4 linked regions of the Arabidopsis thaliana genome follow. The protein of the gene in region 3 interacts with the protein of the main gene of each other region in a biochemical or structural test. Each region holds a gene or a part of one and is shown on either strand. Other genes may lie near its edges.

Region 1 (3,338 bases), on a different chromosome or scaffold from region 3:
AAAGAAACTTCTTTTCTTTGATTATAATGATTAGAACTTCGTCCTACGTAGGAAATTAATTTATTTTGGTCTTACTAATTATACTTATCTTCAATAATTATTCTGCGCGTCCTTTTCGTACCCACCTCGGAAAATTAATGTCAGTTATTTTATCTACCAATTTATGTCTATAAACGTATATTAATGCACATATGTTGGTGTAAGTAATGCCAATTAGTACAACAAACTACAAATTTATTAGTATATCGACTAATTAACCTGTAAGCTTTAATTTATTTTGTATGGCTGAAAGTTCAAGAATATTAAAAGATAAATATATAATGTCTGCAACTAGAAAGGAGAGTAGGGACATGAAATTGGGACCAGGTCACCAACGCGTCATGAGAGCGACCATTATTATTTCCTTAAAAGAAATTGCATACGTATTTTCTATTTTATACACACACAAAAATAGATTTGAAACTGACACCATACAAATGATACGCAAAAAAAAAAAAAAATGAATATCGATGATAGAAATCATTGCTAGTCATATTTTGTTTATATAAAGCAAAATAAATGAATTGGACTCATCATATTCAACCAACTTTTGTTTATCGAACATCATCAAAGGCCTTCTTTATTATGTCATGAGACTCATGACTCATATGAGAAAGATACGTTACGAAAATAGAAACAAAAGTTTACAAAACCGCCATAATAAAATAAATATAGAAACAAAACCTACCAGAAAACTTAGTTTGTTTTCTTGAAATCATTGCATTCTTTTTTTATGTATATTACAATTAATATAGGTACTGAAATACATTTTGAAGGAAAATATATATAAAGATTGTTGTTAGTAGAAATTTATTCTTGGTTGGTCTTAACAAAGTAAGAAAACTACATATGCTCATCATCATCATAAAATTGCTCAGAAAAACGGAAGCAAATGACATGGTTTACGAGATCACGTTTTGATCACACACCGCATCGAATGAAAATACAAATCAGCAACAACAAACAACAACAAAAAAGGTATATATTATACGAAATAAATGTATAAAATCAATCGGTCGATGTCAATAAGTATAGAACTCAGCCAATTCTTCAACGGATCCTCCTTCTTGACCAGACTTGAGCATCCACAGCAAGTGCTCGAACAAAACGACTTCACAAGCTACAACAATCTCACGATCTTGTTCGATGGATCTAGAAGAAGACCGATCCACGAGTTCTTGAAAGAGTGGGTGAGAGATGATGTCTGGTCTAAGCATGTAAGGTCTTCGAGTTTGACCAACGTAAACCACATGGAGATTGTTGTCTTCTGAGAGTTCGTCGGAAACAGCGGCTGAGGAGGTTGAGTGGTGGTGGTTCTTGGCGAAAGAAGGCCATTTCTTCATAGCCGACTTAAGCTTTGTCAGCTTCCCAACTTTGGCCATTGCTAACGAAATTGAACTTTTTTCTTGGGGTTGGAACAAGAGAGTTGTTGAAACTAGCTAGGGTTTAGGGTTTACGAGGAGATTTATATGTGTTGATGTGAGTGTGTGTGGGGATCAAAATATTGGAAGAAGAAGAGAGGAATGTTTGAGAGATGTTCTTGGGAGGAAATAACGAGGAAGGTTCGTGTATATATATTGAGTGAGATAGAGAGAGAACGTATAGGTGCATGACCCACCGATTGATGCATAACAGCTAAGAGAGATGAGGACATAAATGGCAAAACTAGTATCGTTTTTTGCCCATTGTTTTTTCTTTCTTTTTTGTTGTATCTTGTAATTATATATTGAGATTCGTAATAATTTTAATTTTGTAATAAATTTTGCCATATTCATTCATTTATTTTCATGTTACAAATTACACTTGCTGATAAGAAAAATATTGTAAAATTATGATAGATGGATGAGGGAATGATACGGTCTACGAAAAAACTGATAAATACGTTCTATTAAAAAAAACAGATATAACAAGTGATCATTACACCATTAATTTATTTGGCTAAATATATATATATATATATATCAATAAAAAATACATAATAAATAACATTTTATCTAATTTAACATAACAAAACTATTAAATTATTTGATACAATTTTTTTTCCTTTTTATATATATTTGATACTATATATACACACTATTTCTCTTACCTGTGACATTTTGTTTTGCCTACATAAATGTCAGACACCACAAATCCAGTTTTGGAAATGCTTGCTTGATAAACATTCATGTTTGTTGTATAATTTTTTTTTAAATTGTATTTTGTATATTATGATGTCTTATAGTATATAATAATTTGTAGATATATACATATACGTGCGGTGAGTAGAGATGTGTAGGCAACCTCTTATTGCGTGTTGTTGTCTAATGATCGGACAAAGAGCGATGTTTTTTAGATAACGATTACATCTTGTCCACAATTTTGTTCAATATTACCCGATAATGCTAATTTTTTGTCGTTCATATTATCATGTACTATAGAAAACAAGTATGGTCTTCATCTGTCGATTTACCTTCGATTTTCTTCATTTCATATTAAGAACATAAATTAGATATGAACATTCAAAAAGCATACTATAAAATTAAACTCGTAAACTCATATAATTTACACGGTAATTAGGTTTTATTGACGGATGCAAAAACTAACCACAAGCATATTATGCTCTTTTCGACAAGACACAGTCCTTTTATCTAGTGCAAATGCATAATCATAAATATTGCTCATTCTTTTCATAAAGTTAGTTTGGCATTTCCGAGAAATTAGGTGGAGAAGACCTTACCTTACCGTCTGTCTTTTATCGAACAAAAAAAGTTGTGGATGGTAAGCTAATCATTTAAGGAATTTTTAGATACTTCTTTTTTATAAATGGTCGAACATATAGTACTTGTTTATAGCAAAAGAAATAAAATAGTAATATAGTACTCTCTCATCATTAAACATTAGATAACTATCTTTATCTTAATGTACTTATGTAGCTAGTAAAACATCAAACCAGACCTACAATTTGATCAAGAGTGAAATATTTTATTTTTGAATAGTGAAGATCTTAGAGAATTTTTGAAGATTTGAAGAAAGGAAAATGATACGCGCATATATGCAGCATATACATACTGGCATCACACGAAACAAACAAGCAATCTGAATTTAGGAATACTAATTACTTCCGATTCGTAATCATTGCAATGATTAGCATAAATCGAGTTATGCTATAACTTAATTATATAAAGGTAGCAACATGTATTACTTAATATTCTAAGGTGTGATACTTTTAGAAATTCATTTTTTTGGATTAGATTAAATATTACTAAAAAGGTTAGAAACTTAATTTAAGAGAAATTTTCGATTAGTTGTATTAAAAA
Region 2 (2,861 bases), on a different chromosome or scaffold from region 3:
TTTAATCGTTTTTTTTTTCATTCTGCATTTTACCAAATAAAATCAGTTTCTTACATGACTTTTGCCAAAACAAAAATTAAAAAACATCACATGTAGATTTAATTTATTATATTTTTTTTTCTCAGTCATCATATTTCTTTTGCGACTTTAAAAGATGCAAATCCGTCTAGACTTTATCAAAATTATTTATCTATATAATACGTTCATTGTTTAATTGTTTAGTTTGTATGTTTATGTGCAATTGTGCATGACATGCGTGTATACGTATGTTTTTATGGAAAAAAAAAGATACACGGATAAATTTTATAAATATATTTAAATACGTAGGGGCCAATCAATCTAAAGTAGATAAGATGAATTGATTAGGGTTTGAAATTTTGTAGCCCGTGATTGATCTAGTTCACGAAGTCAGTCAAATACAACATTGACATTGCAATTAGTTTTAGCTCTTTGTATAACCATTAAAAAATCATCATTTTTAAACTACATTGCAACTTGCAAGACAATATTTACACATTTAAACATTTATTTTATCGTTGTTGTATCATTTAACAGAAAATAGATTATTTCACGAAATACTATGTAAAGTGTAAAGTATACAAAGTGTAGAATATACAAACATGTAACATTTAATCATAAATATATTTTGAACCTAAATTAATCATAAAGAGTTAACAAGCGTAGAACTCGACAAGTTCGTAGACCGACTCGGGGCGTGACTCATCGGCGTCGGCGTTCTCCAACATCCAAAGCAAATGCTCAAACAAGACAACTTCGCACGACACAGAGATGGAACCGTCCTCGCTGCCGCATCCACCATCCACCGCCGCTAGCTGCTGGAAGAGCGGGTGGCTCACGACATCGGAGCTCACGTGGTATGTCCTCCGTGTTCGGCCTACGTAGACAGTTTGAAGGTCTTCAGAGGGGAACGCACTCACGGCGGAGGATCGGCTGTGATTGGTTTGAGCTGGTGGCTGGTTAGGCTTGGTGTTGAATGAATTGAGTTTCTTCAAAACTGATTTCAGCTTCATCAGTTTGTTTCCTCCTTTCGCCATTACCGATTCGGTTTGGAGAAGTTTGACGTCGGAAATGTAAGTCCGAGTGAGTTTTCCGGTGAGAGAGAGAGAGAGAGAGAAGCGAGGAAGAGGAATGTCGATGTCGAAGAGAGAAAGGAGAATGATGTTCTTATATAACTTGCTAAGGGTAGATTCGTAATTATAGTATTATTATTTTCAGTATAATTTCATGGTTTTAATAAGTTTGAGAACGTTTAGGTTATCAACCGATTTTTGAATAGCCATTATCCAATGATCTAAAAGTTTCCAAGAGCCGGAAGCAATTATTCGAAAAGATTATGATTATGAATTGGAAAGATAAAGCTAAAAGTATATATTAAAACATGCAAACCCACATCACTCCAAAAGTTTTTGTTATCCCAGTCAACCATATACATCATCATTTCCCCATAACCATTTTCTTAAAACTAAATTTGGCTAACGTTTTAACTACGTTGTGGTAAGAACCTTCGAGACTTCGAGTGTGTAAAGTGTAAACTTATATTTTGGATGAATTTTTGTTAAGTTTGGATCTTCATCACATTTGTTTTTGTGTCATTTCAATCCAAATGATGAAGTAACGAGTACCACAAACTTACTAGATTATATGTTCTATTCAATATGTACTTTTCTTCAAAGGATTTTCATAGTATTTATTAGAAACTTTAAATATATTCTCTTTTCTTTCAACGAATTTCAGTTAGATATTTAACTACGACAATTTTTCTTCTAAAAATTTATGGAGTTCCCATTTTTCTCGTTTATATAAAATATAAATTTCTTTGAATGAAGATCATAACAATATAAATGAAGCTGTGAACTTTATGTAATCACTTGATTATAATAAACTAATCCAACAACTAAAGGAGGTTCATGAACTTCTAAAGCGGCTTATTAGTTCTAATTAGTTAGGTAAGTAATTGGCTATCTCTGCTTTTGATTAAAAAAATTATCTTCTCTTTTTTTACACATAACATGTTACAATAACAAATACTATAAAATTGCAAAATTTTGTCATTTTGTTGTGGTTAGATTAGACTCCGACATTATTCATTTGTGAAGTTTATTTATTATTTACGTAGTATTGGCTTCTACTGTTACAGCATGTGAGTTCCGGAAGATTTGTCTTCTTCTTTTTTTACGTAAAATTGTTTATATCATAATCAGCCGACACAAGGGCATCAAATGTCTTTCTAATCATGTAACCAAAATATTAATATGAAATTGGACCTCCTCCTAGTTTGTCTACTTATAATTAATTGAAAAGTTTATCAATCTTCGTAATAAACTAGACATCATATTAATTAAAAGTGTGAGATTTATAAAAGATTGGCGGAAGAGTCCAAGTAAAGATAATATAGAAGAAATTAAGATGAGAGCAACGACCAATCACAGATTTATAGTATCAAATAAATTTGTTAGTGAAAATGTCAAGTTCTCTATTTTTGGGCGGACTCGATCACCTGCCAAAGCGTCAAGCTGTACTAGAGGAACCGTTTAGACGACTGAAGTTTCTTTCCCAAAAGGCCAAAAAACGTTGAAAAACTATCTTATAATGCATATGCATTCATAGTTTACGTTCACCATTGCAGACATATAATCTAAACCTTTGAAAAACCTAAAGCTAGCATGGAACTTACTCATAAAGTTGATACAAAGCTTTAGTTCTTAATATCAGAATTGCCTTAAACAAAGGGGAATGCACACACATGTGTGTTCCCCACTATTTAAGTGGTGCATAGCCCGTGGACAATAAAACCAAACATTTGTTTTGAGGAAACATTTATAAACAATACCAAAAGTTTA
Region 3 (5,945 bases):
AGAATGGGGATTTATTTTTTGTCGTTTGGTATTTGTTAATATCCAATCCAAATAAGTACATTTTAAAAAATTCGAACATCGATATGTCGAACATAATTTATAGCGTTACGTGATGTTCGTTCTTAAGACTACACAAAGCATTAAATAACATTAACTTTGGTGTTCGTATAGATACTAACATTTAGCAATCAAACGTTTGGTGTGGTGGTCTGGTCTAAACTTTAGTCTTTAAGAAAAAAACGTTTTTGCTGTCAAATAAAGTTTTTGCCGTCAAAAAAAGTATTTTTAAATAGACTTTTTGTTTATATCAAAAAACAAACAAAAAATACATTTGATAAAATACTAACTAAATTACATTGACAAAAAATAAATAATTAATAAATTTCATTTGATTTGATACAATATTATTTCTTTTTGGTTGACAAAGAAATGTCCAAAATATACAATGCTTGAAACATTCAGTCTGAATAGTAAAACTAAATAAAAAATGTCAAAAAATAGTAAACAAAGAATAAAAAGTTAGAGCAATAGATTAGAGAATACAAGCGATGAATTTTGACAAAATATGATGAATTTAATAATGAGATGCAAAAAAAGAATTGTATAAATATTCAGAGAGAATTTACTCAAGACAAAATTATAAAATTAATTATTATTAAATCTAATAAACTTATGTTATTTTTTCGCTAAAAATGCGAAATCATTACGTATAAATAGTTTCGAACCAACCAATCTCCAAACTAGGCTAAATAGAGAAAACTGACTCAATTCTCATCACTGTAGAACCGAGACAACAACAACAACAAAAACATTTCCCCAGAGAGGTGTCTCTATGCTTCACATCTTCAAAGAATCCTCACTCTGCTTTTCTTCGTTTCAAGATTTTTGCTTTTCAAGATTCATTGATATCTGCTTCCTTCTCTGAGCTCGAATCACTCGCTCGCGGTCTGCAAAGCCCGTCTAAGCTCAGAAGCCATAACATGCAAAAGAACCGGTTTCTGGATCATACCATTCATCCCCATTTGCAAACATCTTTCCCTAACATGATCTTCAGTACTAGCAGTCAAAGCTATAATCAATGGCCAATGATGTCCACAAAACTTCCTTATCTTCATTGCTACTTCGAAACCATCCATCTCCGGCATCTGCAGATCCAAAATCACAACTCTATACGACATTTCCACATTTGACAACGCATTCAAACACTCAAATCCAGACGAGACAGCAGTTACTTCGCAGCCGAGTTTCTCAAGAAGTCTCTTAGTCACGGTTCTGTTGACATCATCATCGTCTGCTAGAGTGATTCTTAGACCACGAAGAATGGAATTTGAATTCGGATGTTGAAGCTCTGGAGCATTTCCTGCTAAGATTGATCTCCTAATCGATGGTCTTGTCTGAAACCTCAGAACTAATTGCATACTCTGTGTTTGTCCATGCGATTTAGGTGATATCCATATGTTTCCTTGCATCATCTGCAAAACAAATTTCAAATCAAATACACTGTTTATAATTAGAATCTCTATATACCAAACAGAAACAGAGACATGATGAGATCACTAACCTGTGCAAGTTTTCTACACATGCCTAAGCTCAAGCCTTCCTTAATCCCATTGCTATGATATCTTCTGTTCGGAATATGTCTCATAGCCATAGCCGAACCATCCAATGGAGGATTCTGAATCTCATTAATCTCAACTTCAAATTTCACACCGAGGGAATCATCGGACATATGGGACTTCCACATTCCAGTTTCTCTTTTGCTCTTGTCCTGACTTGTTCCAGTACCTTCACAGATAACTCGGAACGTAACGGTTTTGCCTCCATCAGTCATATCCAAGATATACCCAAGCATATACATCACAAGCTGAAACGTTCTCTTTTCATCTCCTACTACTAAATTAGGCAACCGCGTTTGAACATCCATCTCAAAACCGTAACCTTTGTAAACGCTTAAGCATTTAGCAACACAAGCGGCTTCTCTTATCAAGGAATGTAGCTGGAACCGTTTAACCTCTAATGCAGATTTCCCGTTATCTTTAGGCGAAATGTCAATCACGTCGTTGATTAAAGCTGAGAGAACTGTGCTTGTTTTCATGAGCGCATCAACGATGATTTTCTGGTCAAGACTCATACTTTCGGACTGAAACATGGAGAGTAGACCAAGAATTGTGTGCATTGGTCTCCTCATTCCATGACTCATCACTTTCTGGCAAGTGTTCCTCGCTTGACTTGCCATCATCGCGTTCTGTTTTGCTCGAAGTAAAGCTCGGTTTTGAATACCGAGTTTTTCTCTCATTAACTGTGATTCTTCAAGAACTGAGGCATGAGAGATAGCAACCGCTACTTGATCAGCAACAACTTCCGCTATCTCGATCTCTTTATCGGTCCAAACCCGTGAATTCGCACTCGGAAGTACCAAAACCATTATAGCATAAGGAGTATCCACAAACTCGGGAGTGCCTCCTTTGAAATTCAATCCGTGAAGCATCGGCATCCGAATTGCAGCAACCGGTCCAAACTCTTCCGAACCGCCACAACCACTGCTCTCAACCGCAAGAACAGAGTTTTTCCTCAAAATTGTCACTACTTTGGTCTCCCTAACCTGAACAACATCGGGATCATTAATCGGGATTACCCTGAAACTCCTCATCGGATTCGCTCTAAGCTCATGAGTCAAATGCATCTCGGTTCTGTTCTCGTTAGGCATCCAAACAGCAGAGTTCTGTAAATCAAGAATCTTGGATAGCTCAACGAGAGTAGTCCGCAGAATCATATGCTTATCGAGCGATTTCCTGATCTCCCGAGTAAGCATTCTCACCTGCACACTCATTTCCTTCTGCCTCTTCATCAATCCAACCTCTTCATTAAGCTCCAACACATTCTGCTTCAAGTAAAGCTCTCTAACTTTCCATTTCAACAGCAACGGAATCAAAGTCAAGAGCGTGATAGCCGTGGCACACGAGACAAGCGCCGTGAGGAATTTAAAGATGGTAAGCCAAAGCATAAGCTGGAAAGAGTGTGGTCCGTAATACGTCCAAGCGTTAAGCAAATGAGTCATTCCACATAGGACAATAAAGGCAATGAATTGAACAAGAACCCATTTGAAAGGAACATTGGAGAAGCTAATGAAGTAGAGAAGCTCGAGAGGTATTGAGAAATAGGCAATGGCTATTAAGAGATCACTCACTCTTTGACATTCTAAGATGGTGTGGACACTTAAGAAACCTTCGTCGTCACAATTACAGCTCACGTAATCGTTATCACCAGAAACCAGAGCAAGAAGAGCAAACAGAAGCAATCCAAGACCTAAAGATCTTAACATCTTCTGATCCAATCTTTAATCTCTCTATCTAAAACCCTAATCAAATCCAGCCACAATCTTGAGGCTCTCTACAAGTTGAGATCCAATGAACCAATTAAACATAACTGACTTGGTATTCATAGATTTCCACAACGCGTAGAGACCAATGAGATTAAACAACTCCAAACACGCATACCCAGAAGAAGGCAAAGGAATCAAGATCTATGTTCCTCGATATTCGTAGTACTGAGAAAAGAAACCGCCTTTGAGTTTTTTTTTTTTAAATTCCAGGGGAAGGTAATCAGAGAAAAACGAAAGCTAAGATTCAAGCCAATAGAATAGAGAAAGAACACACCTCTCGAATCTAGTAAGATAAATAAGAAAGACCCATCTCCATTTGTAGCAACGAAATCGAGTCAATCTGACATCTTTTTCACAGAAGTTGGAGAAACAGAAGAAGTGATTAGAAAAGAGAAGAAACCGAGTTGGTCCGGTGGTGGCAGATCTTTTCCGGGAGTTTCAGTTGCGGATTTTCAGACTTGAGTCAACAATATTCAAAGTTTTTTTAAGACAAAAGCAGCAGACTTTTCGCTTAAGCAATTTCCGGAGAGTTGCTCAAGTCCATAAAAATGGTGGTGTTTCACTTTAAGCTTAGATGTCAACAAAAAATTCCCATTAAAGATAAGAATTTTTAACAGTAATTTTTGGCTTCACATAAGTTATAGCATTCCAACATTATCAATCAAGAAATTTACAAGTTGACAACTTGACATAAAGTTACCAAGAATTTTAAACTAAATCAATATTAATATGAATAAATAAACAGAATTCTCAAATGAGTTTTTTTGTTCTTCGTCAAATGAGTTAATGTTTTGGTCCAAGTAACGGCTCATAGGAACCGTTTACTAAATTAAGATAGGTTATGAATAATTAACATAAGTAGAAACCGAACAAACGAAGTGTATATATTTCACAAAAAGAGCATTTCCTTTTTTAGTAACAAACGAAAGAAAAACCAAAAAAAATATTATAAGAAAAGAAAAAGAGTATAAAAAAAAGGAATGAAATTGAAAGTGAAGGAGAATCGTTACTGAAAGTATAAAAAAAAGGTTGTGGAGTTAATATAATACACCGTACCAAGAAGAAGAACAAAAGCAATCACTCAGCAACTTCTTTCTATGATTAAAGACCCTTCAGACGAGTCTCTGTCTAATAAGTCCTCTCTCAGTTCAGATTCTTTGCTCGCCTTCTGTTTCTCTACTTGGGATCTAAACTCTACACACTTCTCCTGGAAGCTCTGCTAATCCGGTATTTGCTGCTCGTAATCTCCATTCTCCGACGACTCATGTCCTATCCTTCCTGCACAAGATTACATCCATCAGCGTTTCAAGCCATTGCCACAACGGAGAAGAGCTTTAGCCTGTAATCTTCTAGAACTCTACAAAATACTAATTTCCACCAATCTCCATAGCAATTCTAATCTGTCCTTGTTTGGATTTAAGGGTTTGAACTTTGATGAAGAAAGATGACATCTTTCGAGAAGTTTTGAGCTTTTTTGTTACCTGACAAATCATACCCGCCACCGCCTCTGCCATCATGACCGCTGTTGCCTCCTCCGCGCCATTCAGATGGCCTGGAATGTGTCATGTGTATCCCCTGCGGCGCTTGCATCATGAAATGATGAGGTCCACCCAAACCGGCTTGATGATGATGATGATCATGTTGCTCGTCGTTTCCCCTCATTGGATTTCTTCCCGTAGATTCCATACCAGGAGGGAAACCCATGCCAAGCAACTGTCCAGAGCTTACAGGAGAAGTTAACCGACTTCCACTGTTTGAAGCATCCCCTTTCCCACCACTCCCGGCGGCATCCTTCTTTCTATCAAGCTGAAACGTACCAAGAATCACCTGCATTTGCACAAATCTAAGGCGATCAATCAAAGCCAGACCTCCTATCTTAGGAAATGATCAGTTTTGTGTAAGATGGTTGGAAACAATAACAATGTTTCAATATATGCAAGTTGAAACTATGATACAACAGAATTGTACCTGAACCGGGCCAGCAGCTGTGAGATGGCTACCAATCGCTCCACCGATGATCTGACCATCTGAAGCAGATAAAGAAACGCTAAGGCCGCCGGATTTACCACCTTGTTCAGTTCGGATATAGGATCCAGATAGTGAGAGAATCTCGTATTGACCCTGAATAAATTTTTTGAAATTTGAGGCAAGTTTAACAATGATATGCAAACTTCAAAGAAAGTATCTGAATTAAGAATCTCTTTGCTTTATCAACATGCTAACTGTATTGTGTATCAATTTTCCTCTATCACACAGAATAGAGAGAAAGGATCAGAAAGAAAAAACCCTCCTCTCCCCTTTGGAAAGAAACAACAAAGAAGCAAGCTGAGTACTATTTTACTGCAAGAGAAAATCACCTCATATGGTAAGTTGCCTCCTGATGGAGCCGGTTGGCGCAAGGATGCATTAGAGATAGTGCCTGATGCAGAAAGAACGCATAGTTCATGCTTGCTTTGGTTTGCGAACATCATAATTTTCTGGACCACATCCTGACAGTATCACAAAGAGAACACTTAGAATCATTAAGGATCCTCCTCGATTTGCATTAGTATCAATGAAACAA
Region 4 (3,604 bases), on a different chromosome or scaffold from region 3:
TTCAGAAAAACCCGACATATATCACAGACGCTAATAAAAAGGTTGCCATATGAATTCATATTCTGCTCCGAAATGCACAGGAAAGAAAAATCTCAGAACAAGAAGATCTGATAATTAGAACAAGCCAAATGCTAAAGACTAACTAAAACTATTCTAAAGTTTTAGAGTTTCCACTAAACGAAGCAAAGATGATAGGAACTCACTCACTGGATTTGCCGTCACCGTCGCACAATCAGCCTCTGTTTACCGATTAACAGTCAAACTTGAAGACCACCAAGCTGCACGTCACTGTTTCTACGCCACGATGCCGTTTTGCGAGACCAATCTTATTAAATGGGCCTATTTGGCCCAAGTTCTCCAATATATTCCCCAATAGTAAATCCACAAAGTGTCCATTTTTTTATACAGATTCAATTAATACGAATTTTTTTTCAACGTTGAAATACATAATTCTTTGTTTATATTCAGGCAAAGATATCCCATTATCTACATATAGGCTATAGCTTGACATGAGATATTAAGAACTACATAAATAATTATGCTGGTCGAGTTAATGAGCATCCTATATTTTATTATTTTATTAAAAACCACCATTATGATTACGAGCCATACATACTCACATCGTAGTCATGTTTAATTAATTACTCCAAGAAGTTTATACCTAATTTCACTTCACATTACAACTTGGATACACTTATAGACGTAGTTAGTAATTTATACTTAAATATTTGTTTCCGTGACAGCTTGATGCCACTAGAAAGGCAAGTAGGACAACCGTCCGTGCAATTGGGTAGCCCTGCGCATCATCATGTGGCGGCCACTTTTATTCTTTCGAAAATCTCATAACTACGTACTACTGTAGAGTACATGTATATCAAATGGAGCTAATCATAAAAAACAATTTTAGCATATGTTACAATTTATCATCATTTGGGGCAAGATACTACTACCCTCTTTCGACCGACATAATTATAATATTAGTTAAAGATTACTAGTTAACTCTAAAAATTTGCTCGGGAGAAAAACAAAAGCAAAGAAAATGGTCTGTGCATGACCGCATTATTGGATCATGTCGAATCAAATTCCAAAATTAACGAAATAAAAGTATATATGGATATGTATCGCGCCGTCAATAAGTATAGAACTCAGCCAACTCCTCGACGGATCCTCTTTCGCGATCATCCTCATCGCCGTGATCAGAGGAACTGTTTTTGAGCATCCATAACAAGTGCTCGAACAATACGACTTCGCAAGCTACTAAGACGGTCTCTTGGTCGTGACGTTCTTCGATAAATCTAGACGACCGGTCAAGTAGTTCTTGGAAAAGCGGATGAGCGATGACGTGGGAACTAAGCATGTAAGGTCTTCGTGACTTTCCGACGTAAACCACATGGAGATCCTCGCACTTTGAGACCTCAGATACGGCGGTAGAGGCGGTACACATGGTTGAATGGTGGTTCTTGGTCAAGGAAGGCCATTTCTTTATGGCAGACTTGAGCTTTGTCAGTTTACCGAATATAGCCATTAGCGAAAGTCTCTGATTTTTAGCAATAGTAGTAGTTTCTTGAAATTAAGATTATTGTTTTGTGTATGTTTTATCAGGAATTGAGAAACTAACTTTCTTGGTACGTAAGAAGGAAGTATTGGGTTCTTTGTATTTATATTGAGGGACAGGGAGAGAAAGAGAACAGCTAAGAAAGATAAAGGAGGCTACAAAATCTGTAAAACTGGTGTCCCCTTGCTCTAAATTTTATTTAATAATCTATATTATATATTATGTGTAAGTGTGTGTGGATGCATGTTGATATGTGCATACGTGTGTATGTGGGCTGGACAATCTACTCTTGTGTCTTGTTGTGCAATGAATCGGACCAAGCAAGGGTGATCGATGATTTTTAGATAAAGATTACATCATGATTGAGATAAGATCTCCATGATAATTATATTTAGTGTCGCGCTTAAAGTTACGGTTTTGGCCGAAAGAATAGGGTGTATAGTAATTTAGCTTTTTAATTATTACACACAAAATCTTGTAGTTTAGTTATTATATATATGTTTTTTTGAACACAAGCGGTCCATATATTTTAATATGTACGTATTTAAATTTATACTTTCTTGAATAAAAACTAATTCGACAATTGAAGTCATAAAACAAAAGCATCTGTCTTTGATCGAACTGCACATTGTGGGAGATAAGCTAATTGGTAAAAGAAGTATAGAAAACCTTTATAAAGTGATCCAAACTTGTTTTTATCAATAGTTTAGCCTAAGAGAAATCAAACAACAAAATAGTCGTCGATCATCATTAGTTAAATACCTTAGTGATAGTGATTAATGTTGATTAATTAGTAGTAGTAATCTGTGTGATGATTTATATATATATATGTATAAAAAGAATCCAGATATAAACCTGTTTATCGCACGTAAACAATACCCTGCTTATGTGCATTTGACTCTGTGATCGGTTCAATGTACTACACTAAAATATTTCTTCGAAAATATAATACGTTTTAAAAATACTAATATATAAATGTTGACATTGTGATGCTACAATTTTGTAATCAAGAACTCGTTTGGTATATTCTGAACTGTAGACAGAACCCCTGGTTCTCGTAGACAATGTAGTGTATAACATACTAACTCAGTTGATTGAACTTTTATTGTTAATCTAACCTCATCGAATTGAATTCTGAAACATTGAAGAAAAGAGCTGTATATTTTTTTTTATTAATCTCAGAAATATCCGACAGCTTTTGGTTTTGGTGGGCGAACAATTGCCAGCCAACAGCCAACAAAATCAAATTATTTAATGAGAAGAATTAAATAAAAATATTCTGAACAAATAAGTTAGTTGCAAGAGCAAATTAGCCAGTTGGGATGTTCTTGTTCTTCAAGAGTGCGTTACACCTTTTCCTTGGTTTAACCAGCCAATTAAAAAGATTTTGTTTAATGAAAAGAGTTTGAAACATGAAGCATCTAAAAAAATCCTAATCTTGTTACACTTTTTCTTTTGTCCACATTTTTAAGTACTCTATATAGGAAGGTGTGTTGCTGAAGTCAGCCCATTACACGACGTGTCAAGAAAGCCTTAGGTGGTATACTACAGAGGCTCCTGTCGTCTAACATAAAGTGTTTTCGGGTGCAAAAAGATAAATATTTTTGGGGCCAGATTTCTTAGAAATTAGCCGGTCTCGAAACGCAGGCCTCTCTAACCTTTAAAGAAACCTTTTGGCAATAATTCTATCAGGATGCTATGTTTTAGTTTGTTGGTAACTTTTCAACACAATGGATTCAAAGGTCTAATAACACAATTTATTGCCGCGCATGAATTGGCGGTTAATAAATTACGAAAAAAATGGAAAAACAAACAAACCAAACCCTCTATATATACCAAAAACAGAAAAACAGAATCAAACTTTGTGGGTGGTGGTGAAAAAACAAGAATGAAATCTATTTTGCTAAGAATAGAAAGAAAGAAAGAAAAAAAAAAGAAAACAAGAAACGTGGATCTTTACAAAGGTATGAGTCGGATATTTACAAGATGTAACTGTTATTCTGTGCTTTTCCTGTTATTACGACTCTGTTCAACCCTGCCGTACCTGCC

Evidence for each region.
Region 1: the proteins of EIN4 (region 3) and AT1G72430 form a complex in vitro, tested with the Arabidopsis thaliana proteins (one study listed by BioGRID).
Region 2: the proteins of EIN4 (region 3) and AT5G20820 form a complex in vitro, tested with the Arabidopsis thaliana proteins (one study listed by BioGRID).
Region 4: the proteins of EIN4 (region 3) and AT1G17345 form a complex in vitro, tested with the Arabidopsis thaliana proteins (one study listed by BioGRID).

Annotation. Positions count from the first base shown.
Region 1 is NC_003070.9:27,264,089-27,267,426, forward strand, and holds AT1G72430 (SAUR-like auxin-responsive protein family), read right to left. Parts: upstream 1,719-3,338; 5' UTR 1,422-1,718; coding exon 1,062-1,421; 3' UTR 514-1,061; downstream 1-513. UniProt on the Arabidopsis thaliana protein: May be involved in the regulation of ethylene receptor signaling. Promotes cell expansion and plant growth.
Region 2 is NC_003076.8:7,046,240-7,049,100, forward strand, and holds AT5G20820 (SAUR-like auxin-responsive protein family), read right to left. Parts: upstream 1,208-2,861; 5' UTR 1,056-1,207; coding exon 672-1,055; 3' UTR 508-671; downstream 1-507. UniProt on the Arabidopsis thaliana protein: May be involved in the regulation of ethylene receptor signaling. Promotes cell expansion and plant growth. Involved in the regulation of cell elongation.
Region 3 is NC_003074.8:1,234,644-1,240,588, forward strand, and holds EIN4 (Signal transduction histidine kinase, hybrid-type, ethylene sensor), read right to left. Parts: upstream 3,974-5,945; 5' UTR 3,323-3,973; coding exon 1,562-3,322; intron 1,473-1,561; coding exon 933-1,472; 3' UTR 566-932; downstream 1-565. Other genes in the region: AT3G04590 (AT hook motif DNA-binding family protein), read right to left, coding at 4,602-4,660, 4,864-5,209, 5,351-5,503, 5,740-5,871.
Region 4 is NC_003070.9:5,938,446-5,942,049, reverse strand, and holds AT1G17345 (SAUR-like auxin-responsive protein family), read right to left. Parts: upstream 1,759-3,604; 5' UTR 1,526-1,758; coding exon 1,130-1,525; 3' UTR 525-1,129; downstream 1-524. UniProt on the Arabidopsis thaliana protein: May be involved in the regulation of ethylene receptor signaling. Promotes cell expansion and plant growth.